2 linked regions of the Canis lupus familiaris genome follow. The protein of the gene in region 2 binds, or shares a complex with, the protein of the main gene of each other region. Links are inferred from orthologs where the notes say so. Each region holds a gene or a part of one and is shown on either strand. Other genes may lie near its edges.

The links.
Region 1: POLR1E (region 2) and POLR1F share a complex: the UniProt entries of both Homo sapiens proteins name them as parts of the RNA polymerase I (Pol I) complex. The link is inferred for Canis lupus familiaris from reciprocal best matches to the Homo sapiens genes POLR1E and POLR1F.

What each region holds. Positions count from the first base shown.
Region 1 is NC_049235.1:33,896,822-33,903,976, reverse strand, and holds part of POLR1F (DNA-directed RNA polymerase I subunit RPA43), read left to right. Parts: intron 1-3,173; coding exon 3,174-3,315; intron 3,316-6,725; coding exon 6,726-6,934; intron 6,935-7,155. UniProt on the Homo sapiens protein: Component of RNA polymerase I (Pol I), a DNA-dependent RNA polymerase which synthesizes ribosomal RNA precursors using the four ribonucleoside triphosphates as substrates.
Region 2 is NC_049232.1:54,131,550-54,138,704, forward strand, and holds part of POLR1E (DNA-directed RNA polymerase I subunit RPA49), read left to right. Parts: intron 1-777; coding exon 778-836; intron 837-1,826; coding exon 1,827-1,971; intron 1,972-4,333; coding exon 4,334-4,441; intron 4,442-5,015; coding exon 5,016-5,112; intron 5,113-7,025; coding exon 7,026-7,155. UniProt on the Homo sapiens protein: Component of RNA polymerase I (Pol I), a DNA-dependent RNA polymerase which synthesizes ribosomal RNA precursors using the four ribonucleoside triphosphates as substrates.

The sequences.
Region 1 (7,155 bases), on a different chromosome or scaffold from region 2:
TTTGTTTAATTCTGCATCTGTTTCTATGTATTAGGAAAGTCCTCTGATCTGGAAAGTAATGCCTGTATGAACAAAAGCTCTTGTAATTCCCTGCCTGCATTGCAATGTCTCCTGTTCACCAGAACCTGACACTGCAGGGGTGTCTCTTATGTGTGTTGCATGTGTATTGCTTTTGTGGCTGAGCCATGTTTCCCTTCAGTCCAGTCGTCTGCAGTGGCTCTCTTTGCCTGTATGGGCAGGGTTTGGTCCTTGTGTTGTTAGTGGACCAATCTGGGTCCACCTTGGGCTTGAAATGAGCGAGAGCAGTCTTTTGCCAGAGCCATGGTAGCACCAAACTCAAGGGTGCTTTCCCTCTGTGGTCACCTGAGAAACTTTTATTGGTGGGCTGAGTCTGCAGTTAGACCAGATTTCTGTTCCCAGTCCACTAATTGGGGGCAGGGTGCTGCATCTGGACTGGTGTGTGTTGGTATTTTTCCTCTCTCAGGAGCAAGTGTCACTTTGGAGTGCTGCTGGCCCCTGTGGGGGCTACACGCATAAGGCGCAAGGCGTGCGGCACTACTTTGGATGGGCTTCAGCCAAGATCTTCAGGAGAACAGAGAAGCTGGGTGTCCTGCACATGGTGCCAGCAAGGTCTCTTATATACTGGTCTCCCGTGAGAAGGGAGCTGAAGCAGCCTGGGAATACTCCTGTAGGCAGTTGAAGGGGGTGGGTCCACATTAAGTGTGTGGCTGGGGCATGCTTTCAGCAAGCTAGGTGGATAGGTAGAGATGGTTGTGCTGGACCCTGCAGCTGTCTATGTAGTCAGGCTGGGGGCAGGTGCTGGGGAGGGAAATAGCACCCACCAGGTCTTTTGTTTTTGGTGAAATCTCCCAAAGTTCCCTGCGTCTCCAGTACATGCTCTGAGATTATTAAATAAATCTCCTTCCTGTATACCCCAGGCATTTTTCGATCTGCTACTTCTGTGCTGTATCTCAAGCAGGGCTGTTGTGCAGTTTCTTTAAGGGCAGGGAGAGTCAAGTTTTCTATCTCCCTCTTGCCTCTTAATGTATTGGGCCTGCTGAGTTTTAAAGTTCCAGGTGTTAAGCCCTGTTGATTGTTAACAAAACTGGAGAAGCCCTCTGGTTTTCAAAGCCAAATGTTATGGGGATTTGTCTTTTAACTGCAGTCCCCCAACCCGGGGTACTGGGGGCTAGGTCTTCTCTTCCCTCTCTGCCCCCAGTGTTCTTTCCTCCCAAGGTCTGTCCTCCTCTATGGTATGATCTTTCAGTAAGGATAAAACATGTTTATGAACAGATCTAAATTTATCTTTAATTTCTCTTTAATAAGACAAAAGTAGATAAATTTATGTGTAGTAATCAATATTTTTGGTATTTTATTTAGGAAAAAATTGAGATGTCTAGTGAAGGGTTTCTCAAAGGTTTAATGGATTTACACAAATCCTTTTGGGTTTAGGCTCTATGGTCACATTCCCTAATTATCAATTTTGAACCCTACAGAACCCAATACATCTCTTAGAGTAAATATTTTGCAATACTATCTTTACTATCACGAAAGTACATCTTTACTGTGAATTGAAACTTAAAGGTAACACAACTTACCTACATAATTGAAAAAAGAATTTGTAAGTGCTCCTACACAATACAATAAATTATATTTCAATGTGATAATGCTTAAGCATGACTACCTAGGAATAGTTGAAGTACTTTGATGACTTCTGCACTGACACAAGAATTGTGAATGTCTCCATTATATAAGGGTGGATTGATGCAGGGGTTTTGAGTTGACAACTTAGAGAAGACATACATTATCTCCATCGGTGAAATGCTTTTCTGAAGTGATGAGCAGTTCTCAGTAAAATTCCCTACTACTCTTGAATTTGCTACTACATTCCTGGAAATTTTAATGTATATTGAAACCGTGGAAACATGCCTGTACACTGATATATGTGTGTGTGCATATATATATATATATATATATATATATATGCGCGCACACACACACAAATATAAAGTGTGTGTGTATACAGTAAAATTAGATTCTGTGTACATCTGTTTATAAATCAGTTTGTTCCCTCAGAGGTCATGTAGACTTCTTGATTTTCTGTGATGGTGTAGTTCCTGCTTGGGAAAACACAAGCAGACACTAACAGTTCAAAAAAATGCTTTCTGGAATAAATCTCTTGAGTTTTTGGTCTTTTTGATTTGATAGTTATTAAAGTTCCTTTCCAGTGGCTCCTGGCTGTTTTATTTAAGCAGCAGCTATTAGGGATAAATTCTTTCTCTTATGCCATGTGAATAGTTTTAGAAATTTAGTAGAGTTCAACAAAAATGTGCTGGGCTCTGAAGGGCCACTACTCTAGTAGTGTGTGGAATGCAAACATATTTGCAGATAGTTCATAAAATGAGATTAAGTTCAGTGATGATGCTGTGCCATGGAATCTTCTAAGAGTGGAGGAGGAGTGATTTCATCCTTGCCTTGCTGAGTCTAGGACGTTTTCTTGATCAAGTAGTAGGTGTGGTAGTGAAGCCACCAGGTCTGCCTCCTTAGTAGTTAAAATTTGTTAAGTACTTGGAAATGACATTTTCAAATAGTAGTTGCTCCCTAATCCTGTCCCCTATGTAGACTAAAGTGGCAAAATGGGTTCTTAATAATTATAACTATATATTTCATTTATTAACATTACTATTTGTTACATACAGATGGAGTTTGAGGATTTTTCTCTAAGTCATTGGCTTTAATATTCAGGGGCTTGACCTGTGATTCTGGTAATTCTCTTACTATAGGCCATCCAGTACAGAAATTCAGTAATGGTAGATAATACCAAAATTGTCTTGATTTGGTTATACTCAGAGACATTTTTCATTCAAGTCTCCCCCCCACCCCCACCCCCACATTCTAGCATGACTAGAATTCTAATAGGTCAACCTACTGCTCATGTATAATTGGACATTTTGTTTCTGGGTACCTGTCTTGAACAGTCTTTTATTTAGTCAATATATTGGAACCTTTTGGTGAAATTGAATTACTCAAGTTGTTATGGATTAATCATATGCTATTGTGTTTTGGCATGCGTGAGTATATTTAAGAGGCATATAATTTTTGGACTCTGAATATTTAATAATTATGGCCTAGTTTAAAAGAAGATAAAAATAAATTTCTTTCTTTTCTAATAGCCTTTCAGGTGTCCCCATTGCATATGATAACATCAAAGTAGTGGGTGAACTGGGAGATATTTATGATGATCAAGGACACATTCATCTTAACATCGAAGCAGATTTTGTTATTTTCTGTCCTGAACCAGGGAAAAAGCTTATGGTATGTATTTATACACACACTTTTTTATGCTTTCTCTAATTGTATAATTATGTAATTTGGAAAATCTTAAGAGATTTGGGAAGCAAATGGATTGCTGTTGTGGTTTCCTGAAAATTATTTTTAAAAGAAAAAAAATTACTGTCCATTTAATCTTGGTAAATTTTTAAATTCCATTCTTCTCAAACTCACATGTGTATGCAGATAATGTGTCTAATAGAATTTATTCTTTTCTTTGGATAGCATCAGAATGATCTTAGGCAGTAAGAAAAAAATTTTATTTCATAATTTCTCAGTTATACACAATAGTTCCTTCATACTACTACCCTGTTCGAATCCTTTATATCAAATAGGAGTTGAAAATTCAAATGGTTGCAGGACCAGGCAGGTAATGAAAGTGAATGAAGAATGAGGTTAGAGCACCCATAACGCGCCATATGATAAAGGCCCTGTGGGATAGGTCTTTTAGTTTTTCAAAAGAAGCTGAAGTATATCCTCATATGTTCTGCACTAGCCTCTCCTACCAGTTCTGCATGTATACATTGATATATATATACATAAGAATATATATACACGTGTCTATTTTTTCCTTTAACAAAAAATTATGTAGGAATTGCATAATCATTTAAGAACTGTTAACTAACCCTTTATTGCTAATAAAAACACAGGTAAAATTTTACTGTCAAATCTGTAAGGCATTAATAATTTAAAAAAGCTTTTCAGAATCAGTTAAACTGGTAGAGCATCCTGGGCATGACCAGCTGGGATCCTACAACCAGCCTCTATACTTCTAAAGTTGGCAATAGATTTGTACTTAAAGCTGGTAACAGTTAAGTGTAGGAATTTTTGTATAAGTTACTGTAAATGTATACATGGAAGTACCACACTATACAGAAAATATGAAATGAAAAAAGAAATCAATCCTTTTACTCTATTCCCTACAATAAGATCCAGTCTTCAAATACATTTGGACAGTGTGTTCAGTTTTTTTTAATATGAAGTATAATTTACATACAATAAAATGAGATCTAATTTACATACAACAGAACGCACAGATCATAGTGTACAGTTCAATAAATTCTGGTGAGAGCATGTATTCTGTTCTATTTCAGAAAGATGCTTATGCCCTTTCCTGGTCAGTCCTCTCTCCATTCCAGAATACAACCACTGTTCTGATTACATTTATTGTGAAAGTAGTTTTGTTTATTCTAAAATTTCATGTTAATGGAATTTTTCATTATACAGTGTTTGAAAATCTGACCTCTTTTGCTCAACATGTTTTTTTTTTTTTTTTTTTTTTTTTTGCATTTCATGCATGCTGTTTGTTGTAATGGTTTCTTTTTGTTGTTCGTCGTATTCAGTTGCATGAATGTATAATTTAATTGCCTGTCTTCATCGATAGACATTTGGGCTGTTTCCATTATGGAGCTATTATGAATAAAGCTGTGAATGTACATTTTCATTTCTCCTAGGTAAAAACTAAAAGTGGAATGCTAGGTCACAGAGTAGATGTGTTTAACTTTATGAAAAACAGGCAAATTTCCCATTCAGCACTATAACTTGCTTTGCATCCTTGCCAGCATTTGGTTTTGTCACTCTTCTAATTTTACTGATGGGCATATACGAGTTTCCCATCACGGTTTTAATTTGCATTTCTCTAGAGCTCTTTTTCATGTGTTTCAGTAAGGGGCCTATTTAAGTGCTTTACTCATTTTTAATTGGGTTTTTGTATTATTGAAGTATAGTAGTTCTGTTTGTAGCCTTCCTACAGATCCTTTTCAGATCATTTGTTAATATTTTACTCCAGTTGGTAAACTTGTCTCTTTTTAATGGTATCATTTCATAAACAGAAGTTTTTAATATTGATGATCAGTTTGTCTTATTTTTTTGGTTGTTGCTTTTGGGATCCTACGTAAGAAACTTGCCTACTGCTGGATTGTGAAGATACTTTTTATAAGCTTCTAGAATTTTTTAGTTTTAGCTTTGTTATTTAGATCTGTGATAAGTCTTTAATCTTTGTGTGTAATATGAAGTAGATCCTTGAGATATATTTTCTTATTCATATGGTTATTCAGTAGTTCTAGAACCCTGTATTGAAAAGATGTTCGTTTTCCTATTATTTCCTTAATTGATAGGCTTTATTGTTTTATAGCAGTTTTAGATTTACAGAAAAAATGAGTAGAAAATAATACCTCTGTTCACTTCTCCACCCCAGCATACACAAACACAGTTGCTCCTATTGTTGACATCTTGCATTAGTGTGATAACATTTGTTACAGTTCTTAAGCTGATATTGATACATTATTATTTTTAGGGTTTAGAATTAGTTTTTCCTGTTGTACATTCTAAAACCCAGGGAATGTAAGTACAACTTAATGACCTGTGTCCTGTGTTCCCTTTACTGTATCCTGTAGAATAATTGGGTACTGCTCTCAGAATTCTCTATTTTACCTATTCACCCCTCACCTTCCTTCCATCCTCCTGAATCCTGGCAACTATTGATCTTTTTACTGTCTGGTCTCTATGGTTTACCCTCTCCAGAATGTCATATAGTTGGAATCATATTGTATGTAGCCTTTCAGCTTGCCTTCTTTCACTTAGCAGTATGCATTTAAGGTTCCTCCATGTCTTTTCATGGCTTGATAGTTATTTTTTTATTGCTGATTAGTACTCATTGTATAGATGCAGTGCAGTTTGTCCATACCACCCAGAATGTACCATTGGGAACACCAGACTCCTAATAATGACAGCCAATGAATTTTTTGTGTATAAGGAGTTGCAACACTAACATGTATACAGTTTTGTTTAAAGTTTAAAATAAATGACTTAAACGTTTCAGATGTTAATTTATATACATTATATACATTGATTTGTAGGGAAAGAAAAGAAAACTAAGGCTTTTTTTTTTTTTTTGAAACTTTCATATTTTAAGCTTAAAATCATATAGCACATACTTTTTAAAGCTTCCCAAAATGCTTTGTGATTCAGTCAAAATAGCCATGCTCAAGATCTACATTTCACATTTAGGTTATATCAAAGAGTATTTTCTGCTTGGTTTCATTATGGTTATACTCTACTCACCAGGGAATCCTGTAGTAGGAGCAAAGGAGTTGTTTTTATTGGGGGGGGGGGGGGGGGGGGGAGTGAGAAGAATAGTTGTTTATCCAGTTAGGCAATTGATATGCAATTACTTAGTAAAGTTGAACTTTTCTCAAATCTCTACAGTGTTTTAAAATGATGGTTTAGTATAATATGTAAATTTCAATCAAAAAAATTTTTTCCATGTCAAATTATACCATATTTTGATGTTTTTTTTTTTTTTTGAAGATCAACTTGAGGCTTATAAAGTTTTATTTACCTTTTAACTCTGGATTTCTTGATGTTACAGTTTTTTTTTTTCTCTTTCTTCCCAGGGTATAGTTAATAAAGTGTCATCCAGCCACATTGGCTGTTTAGTACATGGGTGTTTCAATGCCTCCATTCCTAAACCTGAGCAGATGTCTACTGAGCAGTGGCAGATCCTGGAGATAAATGTAGGTGATGAACTAGAATTTGAAGTATTTCGTTTGGACTCAGATGCTGCTGGAGTATTCTGCATTCGGGGAAAGTTGAATATCACTAGGTCAGTTCCTAATCACATTATTTTAATTTTGATATTTAGTCATTTGTTTAATTCTCAATTTAGAGAACATAAGTCCCTCTTAAAAAAAAAAAAAAAATTATTAGGGTATTCATGCTTCCAAACCATAAAGTCAGTGCAAATAGGAATCTAAAGTGTTAAGACAATGCATTGAATATTCTAAATCTCTACACATCTAGCTAACTGTTCTGTATTTTACTAAA
Region 2 (7,155 bases):
ACACACATGCAGCATTTATTGAGTCCTTAACTATTTGTCAGGCACTGTTCTAAGTACTTTTAATGCACGAGGATTGTCATAATTCATGTGACAACCCTCTGGTGGTTCTATCGATGACGAAACTGGTACAGAGTTTGACAGGGACATAATGTTGATGTGTGTGTGTGTGTGTGTATATATATATATACACACACCTTTATATATAATTATAATGTGTATATATAAAAATATAAATTTCCTTTATCCGTCTTTATCTATCTATATGACCTGGGATTGAAACTCAGACAAGGCCACTCTAGAGCTTATACTCCTACCCTCTAGATTATACTGCCCTTATATGAATACTTTATGGGAGATAAGAGAGCTTCATGTAAGTAACACATACCTTACATTTATGCTTGCTTATCTTTTATAAGGCGGGCAAAACTATTTACTGCAAAGAGCCGAGGACTTGGTTTCTAATCCCATCTCGGCCACTGCCTGGTGAACTGACTTAGGACAAATCATTTCGTTGGGAGGCTTTTTCCTTATTTGTAAAATGAAGAGGTTGGACCAGATGACCCCTTCATTTGACTCCTTAATTTCTTCTCCATATCCTCCAACTGTATACTAAAGCGACAGACTAAATATTCATAGGATCCATCATGTTAAACTCTGGGAAGTCCTACAGTAAAGAAATCTGTCTGTCTTAGATTAACAGTGAATAAATATTAAATGCTATTATAATCTGGGCCTTACAGCTTCCTTTTTTCCTATTTTTGTTTTGTGTCTTGATAGATGAATCACTTGAGAGCGACTTGACACAAGAGAGTCAGGCCAAAACTTTTAGAGAAAAGGTAAGAATGACAGAAGTGAGACATGGGACCTGCCTCACGTTCCTTCTGTGCCTTGTGCTTCTCCATCAGGAAAATGAGCTGACTGAGCACAGGGCTGCTCCCAGCTCATTCTGTCTGTGGTTCTCCAGTCAGCCTGCCTGTGGAGGCTTCTCAGCTTCACAGAGCGCCGTCCTCCCGCCTGGGGCAGCTATACTCAGCTCCATCCCAGTGTTTGGAACTGATTCTCTGGGCTGACATAGGTGTAGTGTAACACTTGTTTTTGGATTGAATGCAAGTTTCAGAAAATTCTGGCTGTAGCCTGGAAGCTTTCACATTAAAACAGAGTAAACTTCAGGATTTTCAGCGTAGGTGGTTCCTATAAAGCTAATCTCACTCCAGGATTGCAAATTGATTGAGTCTTCAGTGCTGCCTGGAGCACTGTATTGAGAAGGTGTGAGGCTGTCTTCAGGCTCAGTGGGAAAGAGTGAGTGATTAGCAACATCTGCTATGGGTGTAAGGCTGGAAAATGGTAAGTTATGTGCCAGATTTACCAATCCTCATTCTGATCCAGGCTTTTCACTGTACAAATGGAGACACTGTTGATTTGTAAAGAGCCCATGACAGTTTCCAAAGCAAGTACTTCAGGGATCCCTGGGTGGCGTAGCGGTTTGGTGCCTGCCTTTGGCCCAGGGCGCGATCCTGGAGATCCGGGATCGAGTCCCACGTCGGGCTCCCGGTGCATGGAGCCTGCTTCTCCCTCTGCCTGTGTCTCTGCCTCTCTCTCTCACTGTGTGCCTATCATAAATAAATAAAAATTAAAAAAAAAAATTAGCCAAAGCAGGTACTTCAGATCTGCTAATACACCAGCCTGTGAGATAGAGAGGTATGATTTAGCCTGATTTATAGGTGAGGTAATCCTGGCCTAGAAAGGCTGAGTTTCCGCATGGTCACACAGCTAGGAGTAGTAGTGCCCAGACTGTCCCTACACAAACCAAATTTGTCTATGCACAGATGGATTCTTGCATTGAAGCCTTTGGAACCACCAAACAGAAGCGGGCTTTGAACTCCAGAAGAATGAACACAGTTGGCAGTGAATCTCTGAACTGTGCAGTAGCTAAAGCTGCAGAGAATATTATTGATGCGAAGGGTGTAACTGGTAAGCAGCTGGGACTTGGAGTAAGAGTCTGCTCATTGAGACAGCTTCCTTGTCTCTTGAGATCTCTTACCTGCTCCACAGATGGAAATAAGGGTGTGTTAGGGCTGGGTTCCTTCCTCACTCTCACTGAGCACCTTCTTGGGAACAGACTTTGGAAATAGTAAGAAACATCTGCCCTCAGGGAGCTCACAGTCAAGCGGAGGAGACGGGCATGGGAACGGGTATGTTTACACTGTGTCCTGAGTGCCAGGGTGCGAAGGGAGAAAGCCTCAGTGTCTGGGAATCACAGGAAAGTTTTGGACAAAAAGACTGATACGATGAAGTGAGCCTTTACAGATAGTGCTTCACTCTGGGATCAGTGGACCTTTTTCTGTTCCTAAATTCATCAGTAGCTTGAGTGTTTAATTGTATTGTTTAAAAGTGTATTTGTTCAAAAGCATTATGAGAACATAAGAGAAAGTTTACATAAGAGCAGCCTTTCTATTAAAATGAGGTTTTAGGGGATGCCTGAGTAGCTCAGTGGTTGAGCACCTGCCTTTGGCTCAGGGCGTGATCCTGGGGTCCCAGGATCAAGTCCCACATCGGGCTCCTTGCGTGGAGCCTGCTTCTCCCTCTACCTGTATCTCTGCCTCTCTTTCTCTCTGTGTCTCTCATGAATAAATAAGATCTTTTAAAAAAAAGGGGGGGATTTTAGGGGTGTTTGAGTGGCTTGTTGGTTAAGCGTCTGTCTATCTCAGGTCTTGGTCTCAGGGTCGTGAGTTCAAGCCCCACATTGGGCTCCTTGCTGGGCATGGAGCCTACCTAAGAAAAAATAAATAAGATGGGATTTTAGTAATTTTTAGAAAAATCTTTCCAAACCCTATGATTATATAAATATTTTCTTATGTTTTCTCTCCGTATTTTTACAATTTTACTTTTTACATATAAATTTTAATGAAGATACTTTTTTGCCATATGGTAAAGACCTTATATTTTCCAAAGGATTAGCCAGCTGCCCCAACTCCATCCTTTTCTTTGTAGAAGATGATTTAAAAAGCTATCCTTCTCACTTTAGCACATTCTGTGTTCTGTCCAACTGTCCATTCTGTTCCTGCGGGAACACCAGGCTCTTTTGATTGCAGTACCCTCATCTTCCTGCTTCTATTTCTGATGCGGCAAATTCCTCCTCTTCTCCTTCCCTCCTTATTTTTCACAAACGTTGGTTAGAATAGCATGCCTTTTCCCCCAGGTGATCTTAAGAATTATTTCATCAAATTCCCTCAATTGAGATGAATATGGAGAGAATCAACATCTTTACAATATTATGGGTTTTTTTTATCCTGGAATATAGAAATATGTTTCTCTGTTTATTTGAAAGTGTAAGTAAATTTTTGAATATTTTTGTTTAGTTTAATTCTCAGCTGTCAAAGGACATTTAAAAGGAAAAGAAAAAGAAGTGCCTGGGTGGCTCAGTTGGTTAAGCACCCAACTCATTATTTTGGCTCAGGTCATGCATGATCTTAGGGGGTCATGAGTTTAAGCCCTGAGTGGGGCTCCACACTCAGTGGGGAGTCAGCTTGGGGTTCTCTCCCTCTGCTCCTCTCCCCACTGGCACTCAGTCTCTCTCTCAAATAAATAAAATAAATTGGTTTTTAAAATCCTAATTAAAAAAAGATAAATAATTCATTCATTCCCTATCATTTTACCAGACCAACTATTAGAATGTTCCTGTATTCCTCTTTGTCCTTGTCTATATAAGTTCTTAATCTTACATGGTTATTCTTGTAGTTCACAGTTTTATATTCTGATTTTTTTTTACAAACTATTTCCTTTTTAAAGATTTTATTTATTTATTCATGAGAGACACACAGAGAGAGGCAGAGACACAGGCAGAGAGAAAAGCAGGCTTCACGCAGGGAGCCTGATGTGGGACTCGATCCCAGATCCCGGGATCATGCCCTGAGCCAAAGGCAGATGCTCAACCGCTGAGCCACCCGGGTGTCCCTATATTCTGATTTTTACTCGTAATATATGGGGAAGTTTTCCAGAAGTGAAGCCATTAAAAGCTCTCTTCCTGACTTTTGGCTTCTCTTGCACTGTAAATATTTATTAGCACACCTGTCCTCTGAACTGTTGTGCGAGTTACTTGAGAGGGCCCTCACTGTGTGAGCCTTCTCCAGTGCCTGGTTAGGTTTGTGTTATGAGTGGACATCAGCCCAGACCCAGCAGCCAGCCTGATGGAGAGTTCAGGCCACATTGGCAGAAGCATTCAGATTAGGATTTTTTGGACCAATTACAACCTTGAGCGCACAAGTTTCAGAGTATTGGGGAACCTGAAGCCACACAGGATGATACTAACACTGTCTCTTCCTTTATCAAAAAGCTCTGGTCAACGATGCCATCCATGATGATCTGCAGGATGACTCCCTCTACCTTCCTCCCTGCCACGCTGATGCAGCCAAGCCTGAAGACGTATATAAATTTGAAGACCGTATCCTTGTTGCAGTAGAAACACTGCCTTACTTCCCAAGTTGGGATGTGCATACATGAGTGGACAGACAGGCTTTCTGAGGCTGTTGGTGGTCCCATGATGCTCAGAGAAGCTACATCCAGATCTTCGCCCTTGCCCTGGCCCTTTTGCTGGGAAGTTACCTGGGCTTCCTTACTGGCTGAGGGTCAAGCCCATTCCTCAGCAAAGTGCCAAATACCCTCAAGTTCAGCCCTATGGAGGTCACTTGCTATGAGTAGTCAAAATAAGATTTTTAAGTCAGCCCTAAGTCTGGAGCAGACTGATCTGTAAAAGGTGGAGCATAGAATTTCCCTACTCATGGGTCTGGTCAGAGGGAGAATGCCTGCAGTGGCTTTGTGATGAGCCATGGAAGCAGAAAAGGCCTGGCAGGGAATGGGCTCTGGGCTGGGAGTCTGGAAAACCGTGTCCCTGCGCTCAGCCCCAGTGTACTATTGGCCTCAACTTTCCCATCTCGAATATGGAGCCGCTCTGAGATGAGATAGCTGGTTAGATGTTTTTCTTTGGATCAGATTATATTCTTGACCTGTTTAACTAGTTCTGTCCACTGCGGAGTATGAAGCTCTTCAGAGCCCATCTGAAGCTTTCAGGAATGTCTCATCAGAGGAAATACTGAAGATGATTGAAGAGAACAGGTATCCTCCCCTCTTGGGTGGATGGAGCATCTGGGGCTGTGATGGCAGAGCTCAACAGTAGTCAGACATGAAGGAGACCTTTAGGGGTGTCAGTCGGTGAGGGCATATGTCTTTTCAGGATCTGAACATGAACGAGCCAGTGTTCTCTTGAAAATATTTGGGCTTTCCAGCCTCTTGTCCCAAGGCTGTGGGTGGCATTCAAGGGAGAACGAGGTGGCCTCTGAGTGCTTGGAGCCCGTGGCTGAGCAGAGGGTGGTGAGGCCTTAAGGTTGGGCTTTGAACCGGAGCAGGCCTGTGTCCCCAGGGCTATGCTGATTGTGATCATCACCAGTGGGGCCCAGGCGCTAGCCCGCGAGTTGGTGCCAGTGCAAGTGATGGTTGATGCCGAGTGAGCTTTTATACGTGAAGTTAAATTTATGAGCGGTTTAGGCGATAAAGCATCCGACTCTTGATTTCGGCTCAGGTCATGATCTCAGAGTAGTGAGATCAAGCCCCAAGTTGGACTCCACACTCAGCAAGGGTTCTTCTCTTGTCTTATCTGTATCTGTCTCTCTCTCTCTGCTCTTCCATTCACGTGTGCTCTTTAAATCTTTTTTTAAAAAAGTTAAGTTTAGGGGATCCCTGGGTGGCTCAGTTGTTTAGCGCCTGCCTTCGGCCCAGGGCATGATCCTGGAGTCCTGGGATCGAGTCCCACATCGGGCTTCCTGCATGGAGCCTGCTTCTCGTTCTGCCTGTGTCTCTGCCTCTGTCTCTCTGTGTGTCTAATGAATAAATAAAATCTTTAAAAAAATTAAAAAGTTAAGTTTATATATTTAAATACTATATATTTTAAATAACTCAGATGATCTCCCCTGTACCTTTTGACCCTTAAACAGCTTCTCTTTGTTTTTTTTGTTTGTTTTAAGCAGCTTCTCTTTGATGATGACAGTGGAATTTTCTTGCTTTTGAGTTTTTTCTTTTAATAATTTCATCTTGAGAAAATAAAAAATTGAAAACCCTAGGTTGGTTCCCTGATTTTTGAAGGTGCTTTTGTTGTTCCAAAGATACATTTCCAGAAAAACTTATTACTGGTTCTTGGTTGTCGTAATGTAATCATGGCTCAGCAGCAGGTGAGGAATGAGCTCTGGGCCGAGAGTCTGGAGAACTGAGTTCCTGAGCTCTGCCTGAGGTACTGTGTGATCTTCCCTTCATTGAGGCTCAGTTTTCCTATCTGTAAAATGAGCCTGCTGCAAGATGATCTTGAAGAGCCTTTTTATTTCTGTGAGTCTGGGCCTCATGGTAGTAGAACAGTTCATAAAAGAATAACTGACATTGATGGAGCTTTTGTATGTGCCAGGTACTGTTTTAAATGCTTTAAATGAGACTTGCGTTACCTCATTTAATGCACAAAAAACCTCTAGAGGGAGGCCACTATCTTTGTCCTTAATTTTTAGGTGAAGATGTTGTACGGAGATGTACAGACACACTGAAACTTGCCCAGGCTACTAATTGGTAGAGAGGGGATTCAAACCCAGGCAATCTAACTGAAGGGCCTGTGCTCCAGACCACACATCAGGACGGGGCAGACAATGGCCTGTGTGCCAAGGTCAGGCTGCTGTCTATGAGTAAAGTCTTATTGGAACACAGCTATGGCGGTTCATTTGTTATTAATGGCTGTTTTTGCACTACACTGGCAGCTTTGAGTAGATTTAACAGAGATCCAATGGCCCACAGAGCCTAAAATATTTATTGTCTAGCCCTTTCCTGCCTTAGCACTAAACCATGCTCACTGTGTAATAAGGAGGATATTAGGATGGCTCTTCAACGGTTGAATGTGATCAGCTGTGGAGGATGCCCGCTGTTTTCATCATGAGCGTCAGTGGTTCCTGACAGGGTTGGTCTTACATATTCCTCCCTTGTCCCCCTTGTTTTAGCCACTGCTCCTTTGTCATAGAAGCATTGAAGTCTTTGCCATCAGATGAGAAGAGCCGAGACCGCCAGGCCCGATGCATATGGTTTCTGGACACGCTCATCAAATTTCGAGCACAGAAAGTGATTAAGCGG